3 linked regions of the Mus musculus genome follow. The protein of the gene in region 1 interacts with the protein of each later gene in a pairwise test. Links are inferred from orthologs where the notes say so. Each region holds a gene or a part of one and is shown on either strand. Other genes may lie near its edges.

Region 1 (4,315 bases):
TAGTTAGCGCAGCCTAGTTAGGGGATGCTCTGTGTGCTGACAGGAAACCAAAATGGAAATACTGACCCGGAACCTGGGAGGCCGAACACAAAACTCAAGTCTGTAACCTGTCCTTTAGATCAGTTTTTCTTTTCTTCTCGAATGTTTATTTTTATATGTGTGTCGGCGTGAACCCATGACACTCATGCGCAGGTCCCCAGGCTGAACTAGATCAGCCTCTCAGGCTGCTGTGCTTGCCGACTGGACGAAACTGCATTTACAGGACGCCACGCAAACTGTTAAATAGACACCTGACACACAAGCAAGGCCTTCGGTGTCGGACGAATCAGGAGTCCGTTCACCAAGGACCTCTCCCTCCAAAGCCTGCCCATCTACTTGACCACGCACAACACGAACTTCTGCAGACAGCTGCGGCGGTCGGTTCCTCTGTGCATCTATGAGAGCGCGTTCGGTTGCTCAGCAGATATTCTGGAACGAGGAAACGGGAAAAAATGTGATCACTGTCCTAAGAGACGTCGTCGCTACTCTTCTGGACAACTGAGCGCGGGCTAAACCACTCACAACATCTGTAGGGAGTTTTCAGGTCCCCGTAGGACGTGCCAGGCCAGGGTGCAGGTGCTGGCTGCGTCCCCTCAGCTTGTGCTGGGGCACGGTCTATCTCAGGACAGGGGGCGGGGCGCGGGGACACGGTCCATCTCCGAGCACGAAGCCAGGCGCTGGGCCCTCAACAAGAGGCCTGGAAGGACCAGAACGGCGGACAGGCTAAGGTCTGAGGTCTGGGCTGCGTCTCGCAGGCACTGTGGAGTCGTGACAGCCTGTGTTCACACCTGAATTTGGTGAGCAGAGGCGACTCACAGTGAGGAAGTCGCCCTGAGATGAGCTGACTCCGCTTTCTTTAGGGCGGGGCCGCGCAGAAAGGAGGAGCGCGCGGTGAGGGAGGGGTCGCGCAGGGAGGGCGGGGCCGCGCAGAAAGGAGGAGCCCGCGGTGAAGGCGGAGCGTTCAGGGAGGCGGGGCTAGCGGTGCGGTGAGGGCGGGGCCGCGCGGGAAGGAGTGGCTCGTGATAAGGGCGGGGCGCACGGTGAGAGCAAGGACCGCGGTGAGGGCGGGGCCGCGCAGAGAGAGCAAGGAACGCGGGGAGAGCGAGGAGGGCGGGGCCTCGCAGGGAGGGCGGGGCAATTAGTGAGGGCAAAGCGCGCGGTGAGGGCGAAGCCGCGCAGGGAGGGGCGGGGCCGAGCCCAGAGGAGGCGCGCGCCGTGAGGGCAGAGCGCGCGGGGAGGGCGGGGCTTCCGAGCAGAGCAGGGCCGCGAGCGCCCTCCTTGCCGCGACTGGCCGGCCTGCGAGGGGGCGGGGTTTCCGGCGGCGGCGCACTCGGGCATCTCCTGACGCAGAGTGGACGAACGTCACGTGACACGGAAGTGACTCCGAACAGGAAGAGGACGAGAAAAATAACCGTCCGCGACGCCGAGTGGGAGCGGACTCAGAGCCACCATGAACAGCAAAGGCAAGGCCGGGAAGTGGCGGGGGCCGTCGGGGAAGCGGGCGGGTTCGGGTCGAGCGGGCTGGGGGACGTCGGGCCTGGGGCGGTCTGTGCGGCTCTCTTCAGCGGGCCGCACAGCGCGGCCGCACCTGACGTGGCCGCCCCCCTCCACCCCCACAACGCAGCCGCTCGGCCCTCTGGGCCCCGACCCCATAAACCGTGTGGCGCAGTTTGGAGCCGCGGGCTCCTGTGTGTGGGGTGGGGGGGCTTTTCCGTGACGGACAGCGGCTGGAGCGAATGGCGAGCTAGAGCAGGGATTTGGGGAAGCCAATGGAGGGCGGGCGGAGGCGGGGCGCCGCGCCTCGGAACAACAGGCCTCGGCCGAGCTTAACTGCTGAGGTGCCGGCTCCGCTGCACGGCCCAGGCCCTCGAGGACCCGTTCTCGCCCGCCGGGGACTTCTGGCGCTTCCTCCTCGGGGCCCGGACTCGTAGCCGCCCCTGTGCGTTGCTAATGTTTGTGAGAACATGGTCGCGTTCCCCACCCCTCCACCCGCCGCCCTTCTCACGGTTAACTTCCAGTCACTCACTCTTTGGAGGTCGACCTTGACTAGGAACCCGTGAGGTAAACACTGAGAACCGTGGGTCCCACAGAGTCAGGACTGGTTACAGCACAGCCCGGGGGAGATCACCCAGAGGAGTCCCCTAAGACACCAGCAGTCCGGAGACCCCGGAACGGGTCCTCAGACCTGCCCTCTATTCGAAAGGGAACATGGCCAAGTTAGCCTCCATCAATCAGTATGCTAGTGGGAACGGCGCCTTCTGCCCAGTCAGAAGCCAGCACCTTCGGGCGCGAGGGTGCCGAGACCATCCTTATTTTCCTGGCTCTAAGAAATAAGGCAGCCTTATTTGCAGCTCTTCTGCTTGCTCCCCACCCTGTGCACCCTGGCCCGTCTAGTAGCTCTGCTTACAAACTTGTTTTTATTCAAAGTGTGCCTGCCTCTGCCTGTGTAAGTGTCTGTGAGTGTGAGTGTAGGTGCCCACCAAGGCAGAAGGTAGCGTTGAAAGGAGGTTGTGTCATATGTGGGTGCTGGGAATAGAACTGGGGTCCTCAGGAAGAGCAGCACTTTGTCTCACACACTGAGCATCTTTCCTGTTTGCCACCTCCCCTCCTAATCTGACAGACAACATCTCTCCTCCCCTTTTGTATTCCAGGTCAATATCCAACACAGCCTACCTACCCTGTGCAACCTCCTGGGAATCCAGTATATCCTCAGACCTTACATCTTCCTCAGGCTCCACCCTATACTGATGCTCCACCTGCATATTCAGAGGTACTGCAGTTTCCTAGACTTGTAGCTAGTTGAGAACACTCTTGGATCCCCTTGTTAAGTCTTCAAATCTGACTTCACAAGCAGAAGGATGCTCTGTGAATCATCTAGAACTTAAGGTGAAAATTACCATTGGAATTGAATGCAGTATCTGATTATGCTATTTGACACATGCTGACTTAAGCTGAGTTTGGGTCCCTTGAGCACAATAGTAGCTGTGGACGCAAATGACTCAGAATACTGTGTGCCAGTGACTATAACCAGTGTGTAATCTGCAAACACAAGAACTAGGAACAAGGGGCTAGAGAGATGGCTCAATGGTTAAGAGCACTGCTTTTCCAGAGGTCCTGAGTTCAAATCCCAGCAACCACATGGTGGCTCACAACCACTGGTAATGAGATCTGACACCCTCTTCTGGTGTGCCTGAAGACAGCTACAGTGTACTTACATATAATAAATAAATCTTAAAAAAAAAAAAAAAAAAAAAAACAACTAAGAATGGACTCATGAGCCATGCGTGGTGGTACAGGCGAGTAGTCTCAGCATTGAGAGGCTGAGTCAGGAGGAAGCTGAGTTCAAGGCTGCCAGTATAACCAAACCCCATTTCCAAAACCAAACAAGGGGCTGGGGATGTACCTGATTTGGTAGAATGCTTGCTTAGCATGCACCAAGCCCTAGATTTGGTCCCTAGCACAATGTGAACTGGGTTTGGTGGCACAGGCTTCTAATTCCATAGTCAAGAGGTAAAGCAGGAGAGTCAGGAGTTCAAGGTCATCCACTCCTACATACTTGAAGGCTAGCCTGAGCTACAGGAGATGGTCTCAATAATACTTAAAGAGATTCCAAATAGGAATGTCACAAAAATAATGTTTTGCTTTCTCTTCTGCTTCTTTCAGCTCTATCGTCCAAGCTTTGTTCATCCAGGGGCTGCCACAGTCCCCACCATGTCAGCTGCATTTCCTGGCGCCTCATTGTATCTGCCTATGGCCCAGTCTGTGGCTGTTGGGCCTCTAGGCTCCACAATCCCCATGGCTTATTATCCAGTTGGTCCCATCTATCCACCTGGCTCAGCAGTGTTGGTGGAAGGAGGGTATGATGCAGGTGCCAGATTTGGAGCTGGTGCCACTGCTGGCAACATTCCTGTGAGTATGCCTAACTGGGAGCTCAGCCCTTGTATACTTGAACAGTCTGAAATGACTTCATATTCATTCTCCAACCATAGTGGTCAGGGCTGGCACAGCTGCTGCCCTCTCAGAGCAGAAATGTGGCCGGGCCAATCAGGGCATTGGACACAGCCCTTGGTTTTAGAGTTAATCAGGTTGATTTGTTTTCTTGTCTTATTAAATTAGTGGCATCTTCCTTTGATCCTAGCACTTAGGGGCAGAGACAGGGGGATCTCCGAGTTTGAGGCCAGTCTGGTCTACAGAGCGAGTTCCAGGACAGCCAGGGCAACATAGAGAAACCCTGTCTATAAATTTAAAAAGACTGCTAGCTCCTTTTTCAGTTGTT
Region 2 (2,807 bases), on another chromosome or scaffold:
TATTTACTGGCTGTGTGACTTTGGACAGCTCTCAAGCGTCTCTGTGCTTCTATTTCCCAACCCGGGGATGCAGGACTAAACCTTGCCTCAGCGGGTTATTATGAAGATTAAGTGAGGCTGTACTTTAATGTAAAGTGCTTAGTAAGTTCTCTGCTCGCCTTTGTTATTTTTATTGCTCCTCTGAGTCAGTCCTTTCAACTGGGCCCTTCTCCAGATTGGCAAATCGAGGCTTAGCGAGTTAAAAGGGTTCACAGAGCCACAGAAGCTGGTCAGCAGTGATGGATGGTGGGATGATTAATCATGGCGGTTGTCAGTGCAGACCCGAGGGGTCCAGGCGCCTGACCCATTTCTCCTCCCCTGCAGGTGGTCCGCAGCAGCTTGGAAGAACACGGACTGCGTGTACACAGCGTGCGCCTGCATGGCTCAGCCGCCAGCCACGTGCTGCACCCCGAGAGCGGCCTAGGCTACAAGGACCTGGACTTGGTGTTCCAGATGGACCTGCGGAGTGAGGTGTCCTTCCAGCTCACCAAGGCAGTGGTCCTGGCTTGCCTGCTGGACTTCCTGCCAGCGGGAGTGAGCCGGGCCAAGATAACGCCGCTGACACTCAAGGAAGCCTACGTGCAGAAGCTGGTCAAAGTGTGCACCGACCTGGACCGCTGGAGCCTCATCTCTCTGTCCAACAAGAGCGGTAAGAACGTGGAACTCAAGTTCGTGGACTCTGTGAGACGCCAGTTCGAATTCAGCATCGACTCCTTCCAAATCATCTTGGACTCGCTGCTCCTCTTTGGCCAGTGCTCATCCACACCTATGTCGGAGGCCTTCCACCCTACGGTGACCGGGGAGAGCCTCTATGGGGACTTCGCTGAGGCCTTGGAGCACCTGCAGCACCGTGTCATCGCCACACGCAGCCCCGAGGAGATCCGAGGTGGTGGCCTCCTCAAGTACTGCCACCTCCTGGTACGGGGCTTCCGGCCAAGGCCCAGCACTGACGTTCGCGCCCTCCAGCGATACATGTGTTCCCGTTTCTTCATCGACTTTCCGGACCTGGTGGAACAGAGGCGCATTCTGGAGCGCTACCTGGAGGCCCACTTTGGCGGAGCGGAAGCAGCCCGCCGGTATGCTTGCCTTGTGACACTGCACCAGGTGGTCAACGAGAGCACAGTGTGTCTCATGAGCCACGAGCGCCGCCAGACCCTGGACCTTATTGCCATGCTCGCCCTCCAGGCACTGGCTGAACAGGGCCCTGCTGCCATGGCTGCCCTGGCCTGGCGACGTCCTGGTTCAGATGGGGTGGTCCCAGCCACTGTTAATTACTATGTGACCCCCATGCAGCCACTGCTGCCCCGAGCTCACTCCTATCCTACCTGGCTGCCTTGCAACTGACTCTGATCCTGGCCAGAAGGGAATGAGCGCCATGGGGTGGGGTGGGGTCATCAGGTATGTGTGGAGGATGTAAGCAGACACAGGCCACCTGTGCCAGCTGGCCCGGCACTATAGGGTTGGGCCTTTGAACAGACCAGACTTTCCTGCACAAGGCTCCTATGGGCTTAAAGCCAAGTCAGGGTTCTTGACAGAAGGACCCATTGGTCATCATACTGTACTCTTGGACCTGCGTGACTGTGGGACACAGAGGCTGCCTGTCTGGAAATGACAAAGTCAGCTTGTGTGGTAGCCTCAGTAGCAACACCTTGGGTTGATTTCAATGGCTTAGAAAGGGTCAGCCCACAGGGACCCAGATGCTCCTATAGTGGCCACAATGTGATATCATGTGACAGGGCTATTCAGTTGGGGTACGGTTGGGCCATTCACAGAGCCTGGGGATCCAACCTCGCTGATCACTAGGAAGAGATAAACTAAGGCATAAAGCAACTCCTTGGGGTTTGGGTGGGATGGGAGTTCAGTCTCCTGAAACCTCCTTGCCCTAAACCGTGAGGATTTCCTGAGGGCCGAGGTATACAGTGGTGCGACCCATACACATCCCAGTGCCTCACCCATCTCCTTTCCCTGTGCCTTCCAGGAGCCCTGCTGTCTGGGCACTATTGTTGGAGGCTGCTGGGTTCCAAAGCTGCCACAGTCGAGTTGACCACTCCCTCCCCCCACTTGCTTGGTAATAGGACTCTCACTTATCGGGAAGGCGGCAGATCCCATCCCCTTGCCACACCTCTGGATTTGTTGCTATTTTGCACTCTTCCCACCAATAAAAAATGTCTGCACTGACCATAACTGTATCTTTCTCCTGGGAAAAAGCTCTCTATGGCCTAAGGCTGGCACTACCTCCCCAGGCAGAGCTTGCTTGTATTGTGGGGGGCGCCAAGGAGTGGCGTTGGAGCGTCTCTACTGTCCCCCAGCTTGGCAAATATGAACTGGGAGCATGGCTGGTCTCCATGTTGCCTCAGAAGTCTAGACTTCTTGTTAAAGGGAATAAATATTCATCTCTCCTGATTCTGCCCCTGGAGTCCTAGAGGCCCAAAACCTGGCCTCTGGTGAGCAGGTCTGCCCATTCCATCGAATCCCCAGGAATTGAGCAGGGTGACTCTGAAATGAAAGCTGAGGCTGGAGGACCTGGAGGGTCCCCCTGAGCCTTGGTAGGGTCTCTCTAGCAAGCGGACGTGAGCGTGTTCTGGCTTATTGTAAACTGGTCCTGTGGAGAGGGCAGGATCTCTCTGAAGTCAGATGGGGCCAGCTAACTGGGCCCAGGAGTGCAGCTTTTGGAGATGTTCCCTCAGGCCACTGGCCACTCGCCTCTGGACGCTGCCCACTGTTTACCCTGCCTCTTTGATCTGGGGATTGCAAAGCCTTTAACATAT
Region 3 (2,344 bases), on another chromosome or scaffold:
CAAATGCCAGCTACACCACTATCTGGTGACAACTTGTAAGGTGACAGACTGACGACAGCCTGTCTAGGTCAGTCAGGACAGAGACATGAAGGTGATGGCCTGGCCCAGAGGGTACTTAGGAAACCTGCCTCTGTTTCTCAATTTGTACCTCTTCATCTATCACAAGGTGCAGGGAGCCATGTAGCATCAGTGCTAAGCCCTTTGCCAGCAGCCTTTTTTGCTCTCATGGCAAAAGGATTAGCTCCCGTGCCCCACTGGGGGCCTTGGTACCTCAGGCTGCTGGAAAGTGATGTACTTTCTGATATGTATTGTCTTCATTGTGAAAGGCTAATATGCAGCTTTTCTTGAAGTTTTCAGGGAGTACTTTATGTAGCTATACCTTGCCATATGCATGACTATTGTAATGCCTTTGTTAGGCTGTGAAGGTGAATTCTAGAATCTTGACACAAGTGGACTTTGGAGTATTGGGTAAAACAAGCATACTAGTTTGTTGTCTGCATTCTCAGTAAAGACTCATGTCCGTGATGAGTCTCCTAAGTTCTTGAAGTAGCACATGTGGTTACCAAATTTTCATCTTGCTCCCTGTAATTTTTGACTAGATATATTCAACTTGAATTTTTGTTCAGAAAGAAAATACCTCAGGAGAGGGAGCCTCAGTAGTGAGGAGGATGGCCCATCCCATCTGTCATGGGCATCCCTGTGGGATCTGTTTTCCAGTCAGATTAAGGTAGCCTTTTCCCTTGAGGCCAGTGAGATGTATTATTTCTTCCTTTGGCACTGCAGCTTTGTGATCCCACTGTCTCTGTCCTGGAACTCACTCTGTAGACCAGGCTGGCCTTGAATTTAGAGACTCTCCTGTTGCCTTACAAGTACTGGGATTAAAGTCAGGCACCACAACACCTGGCTGAACCCACTCTTTTTAACCAACCTCAACTTTTGTTTTCAGGGATGCCTGCTGTCTGCAGCCCTGGCATGGTGCCGATGGCCATGCCCCCACCAGCTGTGGCTCCTCAGCCCCGCTGTAATGAAGAGGACCTCAAAGCTATCCAGGACATGTTTCCCAACATGGACAGGGAAGTAATCCGTTCTGTGCTTGAAGCCCAGAGAGGGAACAAAGATGCTGCCATCAATTCCTTGCTGCAAATGGGTGAAGAGTCCTAGACCCGCCTGTGGCCCTTGGCTTCACACCACTGACCCTTGGACTTGTCCACCCAGGGCTCCCCAGGGTCACCATCCCCACAAGATTCCAATGAAAGACCATCCACATACCCCTTCCTTGGACATCTGCGCCGCCCCTTCCTACATATTTCGGGGATGCATGTGGATTTTTGGTTCTAAGCAGGCAGTCCTCTTCATTGTTGCTGGGGGACAGAGTTAGGGGACAGTTCTCTCCTAGTCTCTAGCTGGGTGATGGTGGCATGGCCCTGTTATTGCACAGATCAGTGGTCCTGTTTGGGGACCTGCATCTCCTGTCCTCACCCTATTCTGGAAAGCATTCTTACAGAAAGCAACTGCCTCTGCCAAGATACTAGAAATTGTACAGCATCCTTCTGAGTTGATGGATGGATGGCATGGAGTTACTCAGTCCAGCTGGGATGGTTGTTGAGGGTGCACTGAGTTCATGTGCACTTACTTACAGGTTATTTTTAGAACTTTCAAGCTAAAAGCTCCTTCCCTCTTCTGATGTTGTATGTGAACATGGGCCCCTCAGCTAGTCCTGGCCAGTGAGATATGCTTCCCAGCCATATCCAGTGGGTCTCTAACCTCCTGTCTAGCTTATCTGCCACTGTCTGGCTAGGCTTCAGCCACAGAAATCCAACTTGAATACAGAAGGTATCCAGACCTGGTGCTTGGTTGGCCAGGCCCCACATTAGCCCTCACTGCTGGAGGCTGCTTTCCACATCCTCTTGTTTAGTACCAGCATCATGGGTCTTACTCCAGGGGCTGTTCTTGTTGATAGACCTTCATCACAGAGCCCAGAGTCAAGCGAAGGAGATGGGTGGGTGTGGCACTATGTGCTTACTACTAAAATTCAAGCATTGTGACACTACTGACCTGCAGTATACTCTGTGGACCCATACTGTAGCTTGGCTTGAGTGATAAAAATTCATGCTTAAATTAAACTTTCATAAAGGTAGAGGTGCCTGTACCTGACCAGTGGATATTGTATAGTGTATTTTAGGTTGCAAACCTTTGAGCCCGTGACCTGGCCATACATGTATTTAGGGAGAAATTGAGTGGTGCCTTGTGCTAAGATACAGACCGTGAAAGCTTTCTCAGAACCAGTACTGTCACAAGGTGCTGTTAGGAAGCTCCAGCATTGCCACAGGGTTATGGTGGGACA

What was found. The genes of interacting proteins can lie anywhere in the genome.
Region 2: the proteins of Dazap2 (region 1) and Tent5b interact in binary tests that used the Homo sapiens proteins (3 or more experiments, as listed by UniProt). The two-hybrid records come from large-scale screens. The link is inferred for Mus musculus from reciprocal best matches to the Homo sapiens genes DAZAP2 and TENT5B.
Region 3: the proteins of Dazap2 (region 1) and Tollip interact in binary tests that used the Homo sapiens proteins (3 or more experiments, as listed by UniProt). The two-hybrid records come from large-scale screens. The link is inferred for Mus musculus from reciprocal best matches to the Homo sapiens genes DAZAP2 and TOLLIP.

The regions. Positions count from the first base shown.
Region 1 is NC_000081.6:100,614,223-100,618,537, forward strand, and holds the start of Dazap2 (DAZ-associated protein 2), read left to right. Parts: upstream 1-1,439; 5' UTR 1,440-1,489; coding exon 1,490-1,502; intron 1,503-1,827; exon of another isoform or gene 1,828-2,100; intron 2,101-2,690; coding exon 2,691-2,809; intron 2,810-3,702; coding exon 3,703-3,948; intron 3,949-4,315. UniProt on the Homo sapiens protein: In unstressed cells, promotes SIAH1-mediated polyubiquitination and degradation of the serine/threonine-protein kinase HIPK2, probably by acting as a loading factor that potentiates complex formation between HIPK2 and ubiquitin ligase SIAH1.
Region 2 is NC_000070.6:133,485,721-133,488,527, forward strand, and holds the end of Tent5b (terminal nucleotidyltransferase 5B), read left to right. Parts: intron 1-363; coding exon 364-1,383; 3' UTR 1,384-2,220; downstream 2,221-2,807. UniProt on the Homo sapiens protein: Catalyzes the transfer of one adenosine molecule from an ATP to an mRNA poly(A) tail bearing a 3'-OH terminal group in an ATP hydrolysis-dependent manner.
Region 3 is NC_000073.6:141,883,184-141,885,527, reverse strand, and holds part of Tollip (toll-interacting protein), read left to right. Parts: intron 1-946; coding exon 947-1,161; 3' UTR 1,162-2,344. UniProt on the Homo sapiens protein: Component of the signaling pathway of IL-1 and Toll-like receptors. Inhibits cell activation by microbial products. Recruits IRAK1 to the IL-1 receptor complex. Inhibits IRAK1 phosphorylation and kinase activity.